2 linked regions of the Neurospora crassa OR74A genome follow. The protein of the gene in region 1 purifies or fractionates together with the protein of each later gene. This does not show direct contact. Links are inferred from orthologs where the notes say so. Each region holds a gene or a part of one and is shown on either strand. Other genes may lie near its edges.

Region 1 (6,447 bases):
GGCAGGCTGGGTAGCCTTCACGAAGGTAGTGGTATGGGTCAAAGTGGCAACGGCAGTCTTGGTGATGTAAGTCATGGGCTCGCTAGTGGAGGTGCTGCCCTGAACACCATCGACTTCGCCAGTGGTCTGATCGGCAGCGGCGCTGACCGAAGGCGTGACAGTGATAGTGATGGGAATGCAAGCCGAGGCGCTAGACACACAGGTACTGTCAGTGTTAGTCTTCGTCTGAGAATCGAGAAATCAAAGACTTACCTAGAGCTGGAAGCAGCTACGGCACCCGCGCTGCCATAACCCATCTGAGCGTTGGCACCGGTAGCGCTGAGGGCAGAGATGGCAGCGGCCATCAGCATCATGTTGACCTTGCGGCCCTTCTTCTCGGTACGCATAATAACGCAAGGCTCCTCGGTGTTCATGATAACGCAGGGCTCCTCGTTGCCGTTACGCATGGGAATGCAGCCGATGACACTGTTGTCAGACATTGTGGCGGTCAAAGAGACAAGCTAGAAAGGATGGTTAGACGACGCGCAAGATGAGAGAGTAACTATAACTCATGGGCGCGGGGCAGAACAGGGGAAGGGGAGAGGGGGCCCAGAAAGGCTTTGCGACAACGGCGACGAGGCATGAACACGCCGGTAAGAGTCCGGGATCAAGACCTCTTGATGCGCGCAGAGTCGCCTGCTATGGTGATAAGACCAGGCGCATGGTGAAGAGGTGCCCCACGAAGGTGTTGCAAGACCACTGTCATGTTGCGACCGTGTTGCGATCGAGGAGCCTCCCCACCATGCGACGAGTCGTCGCAACGATACAATCAAATGGACGAGAAATAAAAAGGAAGCAGAATGATGGGACTCGGTGCTTACGAGTGATTAATCCTGGAGGGCTGGATGCGCGCGCGCTGAACGAGTGGCTGTTGAGAGTGGAAAGACGATCCCGCAGTTGTCGAAGAAGAGTGCAAAGGTGGGAAGGAGGAAAGGTGGAAGAAGAGACTGCGGGCCAGCTTTGGGATTCTTATACGCTGGGGAAGGAGGGAGTGAATGTCAAAACCACTGCAGCAGCTGCCATTGTGGACGACTGTTTTCGACTGGCGACCGAGGAGGATGGGATGAAAACGGGCCGGCAAGAGTTCCTTGAGAACCTAAGGAGTCCTTCAGACGGGGAGGTGCGCTTGGTTGTTGGAAACGCAATTCCGTCACCTGAAGCTTGTCCGTACAATTAGCGGCGTACCTTCCATGTCCAAAGGTTCCGCGGGTAGAGGTAGGTACGATGAAGTAAGGTAACCCTGCTTTCACCTACTAGTCGAGGGTTGTTCAGACGTGTGACAAGGCTAGGTTCTCTCGAGACGTTTACGTCTGCTCTCTTTGGTACGGTAGATGCTCAGATCTGTTCTTGTGATCTGCCAGGCTGAATTTTGCAGGTTTGTGCGGAAAAGAAAAACAAGCAAAATGCTATGTCCCGTAGCGACCACTCTGATTCCAAGTATAGGTAGCCGCTAAAAGGGGGTGATCTCACAGTATCTCGGACATAATCACTTGCACTATTCGATTGTTATTCTGCTGCTGTTTGATCCAACGTAGGATGATTCGTGGATGTATCCATGTCCTTGTGAGCATGATACAAACGGATGATAAATGGATTGCAGTGCCGTAGGAAGTGTTAGATATGAAGAGAAGTTTAGGTATGTCTGCTTTGTAGATTCTGGGAATGTAAGGTTGTCCATTCCGCCGAGCAGGTAGACATACATGACTTTGCCACATATGATTCCTTGTTGAAGCGTAACGATCTTAATTCGTAAACGTCAAACGATGCCGGAAACTTTCAGCGATGAGACTCGCAAGCAAGGCACTGAAGACGAGAACGAGGTAACGCATTATTTTAGACTGTGAAGTCGTGAAGCCCATGAGGATATTCATGAACGTATCGAATAAAGTGAACTGGAATGTATGAATGAAAGATCTCAAGACTTCCTCTTGCGCAATACGTCGAACAAAGTGGACTAGTGACGGGGTCAACGTGAACATGTTACGCTGTCAAAGGCCCCCATCCAGTACGAATGTAGACAAAATAATTCCAGAAAAATAAATACTGCTCAGCGATGACTCGTATTTCACATACTTTGGGTAGCTTTCACCATGTTAGGGATGTTGAATAAAAGAGTGTCATGGATGAGTTCTAGGTGGTTTGAGAGGCTTTGTTGACGTGCGGTTGAAGTTCAAGTTGCATCGATTGACAGCGTTGTTTGGAGTTTGACCATACTGTAATTACTGATACCATATTTTCATACAGATGTAATGCCTGTGCGGCTTGCCGAAACAGTGAGTGGTAATTTGCTGTAAGCTGATCGCAACGTTTCACAGGGCCCCTTGCCAGTGGTCACAGGGCCCCTGTCATCCATTGCGGACGCTGCAGCTCCTTGGCTCTTGGGCAGCTCTCTGCCTGCCATCGTCCCGCCAATTGTTTCCCCCCCCCCCCAAGTGGTAGTTCACGAATTGTTGTACTGCCCGTCACGCGAAGGAACAGGACGGGCAAGCGCGTAACACAGCTGTTGCCGAACCATATCAACGACTCATCATCCCCCCGCAACTGACTGTATCCTCCTCCGAGCTCAGTCGGCCTGTCGCGCGACATCTAGACACCACCTGCGCATATCATTATCTCGGATCTTAATTCGTGGCCCGCGATACCAAGCTGCCCGTATATCTCCAAGGACCCGCGCGCATCGTCAATCGCGAGTCAACGGCCTGAGCCTCGACGTTTCTCGTTAACGTCGCACCACGACACCACGCGCGGCTTGCGGTCGCCCATAGACTCTTAGGCCCTCCCAGCTCCTTTCTGCCTCCGCCTTTTTATTCGAATCAGTTTCCCATCCTCGCCGCTTGGTCACTTGGCCAAATCAATTATTCAGCTAGCTCGTCCTCAAGATCATACGCAGGAAGGTAACCGATCGCAGCGCGTCAGCCGCCATGGCGCCACGTCGAAGCGCTCCCGAGGAGGAGGAGGAGCTCGAGCAGGAGCAGGAGCAGGAACAGGGACTGGTCGCACTCGAGTTCAACGAGCCCTTGACATGGCGCCCCGGCAAGCCCATCTCCATCGATACACTGCTCAAGAGGCTCGACGCCCTCTCCAAGGAGCTGTCGGAGATGGATCAGGAGACTGTGGACACCAATTCACTGGTCAAGGTTGCTAAGGACGTAGCCTCTCATCAGCTCATCCAACATAAGGACAAGGGCGTACGAGCATACACGGCATGCTGCATTGTCGATATCTTGAGGCTATGTGCCCCCGATGCGCCCTTTACACCATCGCAACTCAAGGTTCGAGAGCCAGAATACACCATCTCATGGACCACTTGCTGACGTTGGTGATCGCAAAACAGGACATCTTTAACCTCAGCATCAACTCCATCATTCCCGCCCTCTTCGATCCATCGAATCCCTACAACAACCAACACAAGTATGTGCTGCGATCCTTTGCCGAGATCAAGAGTATCGTTCTGCTACTCGATGTTGAAGGCAGCGAAGCCTTGCTACTCAAGCTTTTTACCACCATTTTCGACGGTGTCTCGGGTGTCAAATCTTCCAAGGGAGAGCAGGTTGGAAAAGACGTCGAGTTTAGCATGCAAGAGATGCTGGGAGTACTCATCGACGACTCCGTAACCCTTCCAGGAAAGGTTGTGGATGTCATCATGGCCCAATTCCTGAGAGCGGCTGCTCCGGGACTAGGCAAGGAACGGCAGGATCATGTGCCAGTCGATGACAGCCAGGCAACGCTGCTTCTGAAGGAAGAGCCCGAGGCTTACCAGATGGTCAGGAATCTATGCCAGACTTATGACGACAAGATGGCCCGTTTCGCCAGTCAGTATTTTAGTGATGTGATTGTCGATGCGACAGGGTTTGCGGGGAGGTCGAACGGCAACAGAGACGAGGATGACGAAAACGATGAGGATGATGGCCCGACAGGGCCCTCCGAGTCCGACTTGAAAGAATTGAGGAAGGCACATGTGCTTATTCGGGAGATCTGGAAGGCCTCTCCCATGATCCTTCAAAACGTTGTCCCTCAGGTTGATGCAGAGCTCTCAGCAGACAATGTGCACTTGCGACAGATGGCAACGGAGACGCTCGGAGACATGATTTCGGGCATTGGCGCGGCAGGTCCGCCTCCACTGCCCGTCCTTGATCCAGCCGCATACCCGCCATTGAGCCTGGAAGAAGAAGAAGAAAGAGCGGAACCCCAAGTGACCAACATCCTCACCACGCCACTTTGCTCCATATCCTTCTCGCAAACACATAGTACGACGTTCCACAACTTCTTGAGTAGGAAGAATGATAAAGCCCCGTCAATTCGCGCTGCATGGACCACGGCGGTAGGCCACATTCTCTCCACCTCTGCTGGAGGAATCGGACTCAGCCGCGAGGACGAGGCTACTTTGATCCGAGGGTTGGGAGAGAAGCTCTCGGACAGCGATGAGAAAGTCAGACTTGCAGCTGTTAAGGCTGTCGAGACCTTCAAGTTTCAGGACATTATTGCTAAGCTAGGACCTAATGGAGGAGTAGGCAAGGATGGATCGGTTCTCAATACGTTAGCCGATCGCTGTCGCGACAGGAAACCCGCTGTCAGAGTTGCTGCCATGTCACTGTTGGCTAAACTCTGGGCTGTCGGGACTGGTGAGATGCTTGCTGGAAATGAAGCGGTAACAGCAGCATTGTCTGGCATCCCGTCGCGCATCTACAACGCCTTTTACGCCAATGATCTGGAACTCAATGTCCTGATGGATCGCGTCATCTACGAGTTCCTAGTACCTCTTGGGTATCCGCCAGCCAAAAAGGCGACCAAGAATTCCAACGCCAACGGCAACTCCCAGTCGCAATCGGCTAATGCGACATCCATTGACCATGATGCGATTAGAGCAGAGAGGATTCTCCTCCTTGTTCGCTCTCTGGACGAACCGGCGAAGAAGGCATTTTTCGCCATGCAATCTAGACGGCCTCAGTTCGCCAAGATTATGGAAACCTATCTCGACCAGTGCGAGAGGTACAACGGTGGTGTTATGGAAAGCAATGCCGACAAAATCACCAGCAACTTGAACAAAACGGCCGATTACATTGCACAGTTTCTTCCAGAACACGTCAAGAGCAAGACCGACCTACTCAAGTTTGCTAAAATTCACGACCGCCGCAATTACAACCTCATCAAATATGTCATTGGCCAGGAGAATGATTTTAAGACAGTGTATAAGGCCTTGAAAGAGCTCATCAAGCGCTGTATGGCCAGCAAAGACCCCTCAGTTATTGACACTCTGCTTCCTCTACTCTACCGTTCTGGCTGTCTTCTCTTCAACCGCAGTCACTTATCTACGATTATGGAGTACTCCAAATCAGATAAGGACGGATTGGGATCGGTTGCGCACGAGATCTTGAACGAGATCTCTCAACGCAACCCAGACCTCTTCAAAACTCACATCGGGCAGCTTTGCAAGGATCTTGTTGATCAGGCTCCTAATGCCACAAAGCCGAACGATCCCATAGTAGCGGAAACGCTCAAGGCTTGCTCTACGTATGCCCGGAAGTTCCCTAAGGATGTCGCCATGGATCGGAAATTCGTCCAGACCATGATCAACTATGCTCTGTATGGCCAACCCGTCAAGGCCTCGAAGCATGCCGTGAACATTGTTCTTTGTAAGAAGGATGACAAGAGCATGGTTACCGCCACTGATCTTCTCCAAAGGATTTTGAAGGATTGGTCATACGGGTCGAGTAATTTCCTTAACAAGCTTACTGCTGTGAGCCAGTTGGAACTGCTTGCACCCAAGGTTACCGAGGAGGCGAATGATGAGATTCTCAATATGGCCTTCAAGCAGATCCTCCTCCAGGTGCGGACCGACGCCAAAGACAGCGATCCCGATTGGGTCAATGACGCCGAGATGGATGAGGAAATCCAGGCCAAGTGCCTCTCCCTCAGAACACTAGTCAACAGGGTGAGGAGTATCGAGGATATCGAAGACGCAAAAGAGAAGGCCAGTAATGTTTGGAAGGTGCTCAGGAAGATCATCAAGGAGAAGGGCGAAATTGTCGAGAACAAGGATACGCCCAAGCATCACAAGACAAGGCTAAGGCTCTTGGCTGCGCAGTTGATGCTCAAGCTCTGTACACAGAAGCATTTCGACGACATGCTTACGCCATCAGACTTCAACCTGTTGGCCTTGACCACTCAAGATATGGTCGAGGAGGTGCGTCATGGTTTTGTGCGAAAACTCCAAAAATATCTTGCCGATGGCAAACTGCGGTCGCGCTACTATACCATCATCTTCCTCACTGCCTTCGAACCCAACACTGAGTTCAAGAACAGGGTGGAAACATGGATCCGTTCTCGGGCGCGCCACTTTCAGAACCTCAAGCAGCCTGTTCTCGAGGCGATCATGGCCCGCCTCATCTCGCTTCTGGCCCACCACCC
Region 2 (6,427 bases), about 570 kb from region 1:
AACGAAAAAGAAGCCATGATGCGGTACACGGTAGTGCAGCATAAGCAAGCTGGCGACGCACCCCATGGTCCATCATCTGTCAAGCGTGTGCCTGATCCGTATCAAAGAGAGGCTTCGGCCGGCTTCTTGCTGTGAGACTCCGAAATCAGGAAAGCCGTATGATTGGGGATATCTCGGTACTGTGCCCTTGTTGGTGACTGTCTCGCCCGTCATGCATTCAGTTCGGATGTTGCCGCCGTCGCCGCCATCTTGTGACCAACAACACCAAGGTACTCGGGAAGCAACCTCAAATCGCAGAGCGGTAACGAGGGCACACCTGATGGCTTGTAGAGTTTGTAACAAAGGTTGTTTGGCGATGATAATCTCAACACCTTGCCTTGTATGTCCAAAAAGAGGTTGAAGTCAGACATTTCGATGCAGGTGTATACGCGTGTACTGGTCGAATGGCACAAGGTGTGTACGTACAGGTAGGTATGTACGCAGTAGAGTAATCACGGACAATCTCGACGCGGGATCTGCGACACAGGAGCCATTCAAGATCAACAACGACTTGCTCCCTTTCCCTTTTCAGCGATGTTGAGAGTATCCGTCTAGAACCAGACGGTTCTCGAATAGATTACTGACCAACTCGACCTATAGATCGAGAAAGGCAGCATCCAGGGCACATGGGCGGTTACTATGAGGTCTTTGTGAGGTTGCCGCGCCGCAGGGACAGTGGAGCAAGCTAAAAACAATTAGGTTCCCGTCAAGTGGGGCGTGGGAACGTCCACTGATCATTTCAAAGTCTGGGGTCCCTTGCTGCTCCCCATTCGGGCACCATTTCGGTCCCAGGCGAGAGCCACCAGAGAGAGTCGAAAGCCTCGAACAGATTTTTCTCGTCAGTCTCTCTATTGGAACCCCAACTCCAGACGAGAAAATGCGGGACGTTGGATGTCTCCATTCACGAAAATGACGATTGGTTGTCCTGAGAATGGAGGGCGGAAAACGGACACTTGTTCCGAATATGTCGTACACTAGATGGAGACAACAAATAAACTCGCCGGGCGTTGGAGGAGCAACCCAGACTACCATAGGTCCCAGATATCAACTACTGCGTACACCAGGTGTGAACATGTGGATGTCCTTGGTTCTCCTGTCTCTATCGCCGTATGTTGGAACTTGGCACCATCTACACAAGCTGTATGGGATCCATCATGTACAGCAATTTATCGAGGTGTTGATTTTGTGGTGTTGCTACTACTGCTCCATCATCACAAGCCGAGACAGTAGGTACTGTAGCATCAAGCGCACTAGGGGCTCTGACGGATGCAGCTACTGCCAATCTGCCACGCGTCTGTCGCGACACTGGCAACTGAACTGAGAGCTGAAATACATACATGGCTCGAGGCTCAACAGTCCCAATCACCCCAGTTCATGGACTGTCTTGTGCTTCGATTCTGATGACAGTTCTGTGTTTTGAAAGCCTATCACGTAAAGCTACCAAGCCACGTCGCGCGAATGGAGGTTTTGAATCCTGAAAGAGCTTTGCTCCAGTTCCTTCCCGTCATCCTTCCTACGTTTCGCAATATCACCGAATCCATCAAGCTGCTTTAGGTGGGAACATTCCCAGCCCAGCCTGCTGCTTGGTCAGAGCACGTGATTGGTCTGGGCGCTTTGTTCTACCGCCATAGTCACAATGGCCCGAGCGCCTTTTGGAGAGCTCACTCCCGCGCTGCGACTCTGGCCCTGGTGCCGCCCGCTGTCGGTGCTTGCCTGCGGGAAAGAAGTGTGGAAATCCCCTGCAAGAGGGGAGAGCGCGCGACAGGACAGGGGAACCGCCCGGCGAGACGCGTTGAAAGTGAATTATGTACTACTCCAGGTACATGTTCATAGCGGAAGTTCTTCGGTATCGTCACCCGCCAGCGGCCAACACGCCCCCCCCCCCCCCCCCGTCCCAGGTCTTTCCATATTCGCGCTCGTGTCAGGTGTGAATTGTGTCCAGAAGCGGAACTTGATCAATCACAGTTTCCTCCCACATCGCGACAATTGGAAAGGGTCGACGACTCCGGCATTCTCAACGACGACGCTCTTTCGCGCCCCGCGACCGATGGATGCGAACCAAACGATGCAAATAGAGACGATCCGATTCCCACTCTTGACAACCTCCGAGCTCTCGACCTGAACTCTGTACCTTACCCTTGTTGCGCAGAGTGATGCGCGCAGCTGTCTACATAGTCTACTAGCTATACTAGTCTATTGTTGTATTCCCATTGGTCTATATTCCATCCCACTTCAGCGTCTCTTCAACATCAAAGTAGCTGCCGCCGCGCTGTCGTCCAGTTGACGACGACAACACCGCAACCATGCACATCAAACAGATTATTATCCAGGGCTTCAAAAGGTGCGTCGCATGCTTGTCTACTATGGCTCTACGTCAACGTCAGTCCTTCGTTTTGGGTGTGGCGCGCGCCTGGCGCATGCAACCAGGTTGAAGCCGGTGCTGACTTCTGACACTTCCACGACCAGCTACAAGGAGCAAACCGTAATCGAACCCTTTTCCCCCGGTACCAATGTTATTGTTGGTCGCAACGGTTCAGGCAAGAGCAACTTCTTCGCCGCCATCCGATTCGTCCTCAGCGATGCCTACACCAACATGAGTCGCGAAGAGCGCCAGGCCCTGCTTCACGAGGGTTCGGGCTCGGCCGTCATGTCGGCATACGTCGAGATCATCTTCGACAACACCGATAAGCGTTTCAGCGAACCCGGCGACGAGGTCGTCATCAGGAGGACGATCGGTCTCAAGAAGGACGAATATTCAGTCGACAAGAAGGTGCAGACTCGTGCCGATGTCCTCAAGATTCTGGAAACGGCCGGCTTCGCCAAGGAAAACCCCTTCTACATCGTTCCCCAAGGTCGTGTCGCAGCCATCACCAACATGAAGGAGAACGAAAGACTCAACCTGCTCAAGGAAATTGCCGGTACCAACCTTTACGACGACAGGCGCATACAGTCGCTGAAGATTATGGCCGAGACAAATAGCAAGCGCGAGAAGATCGACGAGTTGCTCGAGTACATCAAGGAGCGTCTTAGTGAACTGGAGGAGGAGAAGGACGAACTCCGCGACTTCCAAGAAAAGGACCGCGAACGCAGGTGTCTCGAGTACGCCCACTGGCACCGCCTACAGGAGACCAACAACAACACTCTGGAGCAGATCGAAGAGGTGCGGCAGGGAGGTGCTGGCGCAACGACTAAGGACCGGGTCCAACTCCAGAAAACGGAAAAGGAAATTGCTGCCCTCGACCACAAGTTCCAGGAGCTGAAGCAGACTCTTGAGCTCCTGGCCATCGAACGGCGCCAGTTGGATGAGGACAGGAAAGACACCGCGCGTTCGCAGGCAAAGGCAGAGCTGAAGCTGAAGGATCTCGACGAGACACGGCATTCGCGCGAGAAGGCCCAGCAGCAACAGGAAGCGGAGCTGAACGAGGTCAGGCGAAGGATCCAGGCTGCCGAGTCAGAGCTTGCCAAAATCACACCAGACTACGAGAAATGGAAGAAGGAGGAGGAAGAAGTGGCGGCCGCAAGGGATCTGGCGGCCACTGGTCGTACCAGGTTGCTGACGAAGCAGACGCGAAGCTCCCAATTCAGGACAAAGGCCGAGCGCGATGCTTTCCTGAAGAGCGAGATCGAGGAGACGACCATGCAGCTTGCGAACCAGCGGGCCAATGAGATGGATGCGAAGGAACAGGTCACGCTGGTCGAGAACTCGATCAAGCAACTAGAGAAGGAGATCCAAAACATCCGTGACAGGCTCGAAGGATACGGTGAGGACCGGTCATCAATCGCCGAGAAGCTGACCAAGGCTCAGGAGGCCAGGGAACACTTGTACGAAGAGCGAAAGAGACTGCGTCGTGAGGAGGACAAGCTCAGTTCTTTGCTTGCGAATACCCGTGCAGATAGAGACAACGCGGAGGCGGACCTCTCACATGCCATGGATTCGGCGACAGCTAGGGGTCTAGCAGCGATCAGACGCCTCAAAAGAGAGCGGGATATTCCCGGTGCCTATGGTACTCTGGCAGAGCTTATGAACGTGCCAGTAGACGCTTACAGGTTGCCGGTCGAACAGGTGGCGGGTAACAGCCTTTTCCACTATGTCGTCGACAACGAAAAAACGGGCACTATGCTGTCCGAGTATCTCCACAAGAACTATGGCGGTCGTGTCACATTTATGCCGCTTGAGCAACTACGGCCAAGGCAGGTGAAGATGCCAAGGGCCTCGGACGCCCAGCCACTTATCAGCAAAATTGAGTTTGACCCGATATACGAAAAGGCATTCCAGCAGGTCTTTGGGCGCACAATTGTCTGCCCCAACTTGTCGATAGCCTCTCAGTATGCACGCACACACGGTGTGGATGCCATCACCCCTGAAGGTGATACAACCAATAAGCGGGGTGCTATGACCGGTGGCTTTGTTGATGCTCGCCGATCACGGCTGGAGGCGGTCCGGAGACTCGAAGAGCTTCGGGAACTTTACGAGCAACAGCTGGAAGACTTGGACAGGATCAAGAAGGAAGATGAGATTCTGGAGCAAAAGATCACGAGCGCTAATGGCGAGGAACGTAAGCTCGATCAACAATTGCGCCAGTTCGAGTCAGGTTTCGATCCCCTGAAGGTCGACTTGCGGACGAAACAGCTTCAGCTGGAGCGCGAGCGGCGACATCTTGAAGACGCCAAGATGCGCTGGGCGGCCATCGAGAAGAACCTGAAGGAGTTTGACGAGAACCTCACAGCATACCGGGCCGAAATGGCTTCCGAGTTCAAGAAGGCGCTATCAGCCGCCGAGGAGCGTCAGCTCGAGGAGTTCGGTGCCGAAGAGCACCGCCTGCAGATGCAGTTGAAGGAAATCAGCAAGAAGCGTCTGGAGCTGGAAGGCCGCAAGAAGTCACTGGAGACGGAACTTCGTGCACATCTCAGGCCGCAGGAGGATCAGCTGCGCAGCCAGGCCTTTGAGAACTCCGCTACTGGTGGAAGCGGGAGCTTTAAGGACGCTCAGAAGGAACTCAAGAAGCTTAAGAAGGCTGCTGCTGAGGTCGACAGGCAATTGCAGGAGAACGAGGAGAAGACGGAGGGCATCGCCGCCGAAATTGCCGAGCTAGAGGCCCACAAGGCGCAAAAGGAGCAGGAACAACAAGAGCTCCAGAAGCGGATCGATCAGTATCAAAAGAAGTTGGAGAAGAACTCTCAAACCAAGGCTCGTCTGCTCCAACAGGCGGCTGAGTACGCCAAGAACATTCGTGATCTTGGTATTCTGCCTGAGGAAGCCTTTGGCAAGTATGAGAAGATGAAGTCTGAGCAGGCAAGTTATCATCCTTGGACAATTCTTGCTTGATCTGCATACTAACTAGAAAAAAAAAACAGATTGAAACAAGACTGCGCAAGGTCAATGAGGCTCTCAAGAAGTACAAGCACATCAACAAGAAAGCCTTTGACCAATACAACAACTTCACAACCCAGCGTGAGCAGCTCCTGAAGCGTCGCAAGGAGCTCGACACCTCGCAGAAGTCGATTGAGGAGCTCATTCAGCATCTCGACCACGCCAAGGACGAGGCCATTGAGCGGACGTTCAAGCAGGTGTCTCGAGAGTTCTCCACCATCTTCGAGAAGCTTGTGCCTGCCGGCCACGGCCGTCTGGTCATCCAGCGCAAGGCTGCCGGCAGCAAGAACCGCAATCCAGAGGACTCGGACGAAGATGGGCCTTCCTCCGCTAAGGGCGTCGAGTCCTACAGCGGTGTGGGCATTAGCGTTAGCTTCAACTCCAAGGTTATGGATGAGCAGCAAAAGATTCAGCAACTCAGTGGTGGACAGAAGAGTATGTTATTTTTCTTTCTCATCCTTACCTTTCCCCCCATCCCCCTTACTAACACCGTATGATCACCAGGTCTCTGCGCCCTCTGCCTCATCTTCGCCCTCCAGGCCGCCGAATCCTCCCCCTTTGTCATCTTCGACGAGGTCGACGCCAACCTGGACGCGCAGTACCGTACCGCCGTCGCCGCGCTGCTGGACTCCATCTCCAAGACGCAGAAGACCCAGTTCATCTGCACCACGTTCCGGCCGGAAATCGTCCTGGTGGCTGATAAGTGCTATGGCGTTACGTTCCATAATAAGACGAGTACGATTGATTGTGTGCCGACGGAGGATGCATTGAATTTCGTAGAGGGTCAGGTTAGTGGGAAGTGAGTGGTGAGAGTGGTGTATGGCGTGAGGTGTGGTGGGGATGGTGATGGGATGAGTAGAAGAAGGAGTAGGAGGAGGAGGAGTAAGAAAGGGAGAGGGTGGTGGTAAGGCAGGCTGTATATGGTATCTTCTCTTTCTTTTCAAGTATGGTGTTTGAGTTTTCGTGTGGACATGGGCTTTGATGCGTTATCTTGTCATTGAAAAGTGTGGTACAGTT

What was found.
Region 2: the proteins of NCU00424 (region 1) and NCU07554 purify together in Saccharomyces cerevisiae (affinity purification with western blotting; 3 studies listed by BioGRID, with this or other methods). This does not show direct contact. The link is inferred for Neurospora crassa OR74A from reciprocal best matches to the Saccharomyces cerevisiae genes PDS5 and SMC3.

What each region holds. Positions count from the first base shown.
Region 1 is NC_026503.1:3,811,410-3,817,856, reverse strand, and holds the start of NCU00424 (Spo76 protein), read left to right. Parts: upstream 1-2,506; 5' UTR 2,507-2,960; coding exon 2,961-3,311; intron 3,312-3,373; coding exon 3,374-6,447. Other genes in the region: NCU00425 (hypothetical protein), read right to left, coding at 1-190, 253-479. UniProt on the Saccharomyces cerevisiae protein: Essential for the establishment and maintenance of sister chromatid cohesion at centromere proximal and distal regions during S phase. Also required for chromosomal condensation.
Region 2 is NC_026503.1:4,380,482-4,386,908, forward strand, and holds the start of NCU07554 (chromosome segregation protein SudA), read left to right. Parts: upstream 1-1,930; 5' UTR 1,931-2,342; coding exon 2,343-2,380; intron 2,381-2,505; coding exon 2,506-5,332; intron 5,333-5,394; coding exon 5,395-5,845; intron 5,846-5,914; coding exon 5,915-6,213; 3' UTR 6,214-6,427. Other genes in the region: NCU07555 (hypothetical protein), read left to right, coding at 19-131, 345-457, 640-728. UniProt on the Saccharomyces cerevisiae protein: Involved in chromosome cohesion during cell cycle and in DNA repair. Central component of cohesin complex. The cohesin complex is required for the cohesion of sister chromatids after DNA replication.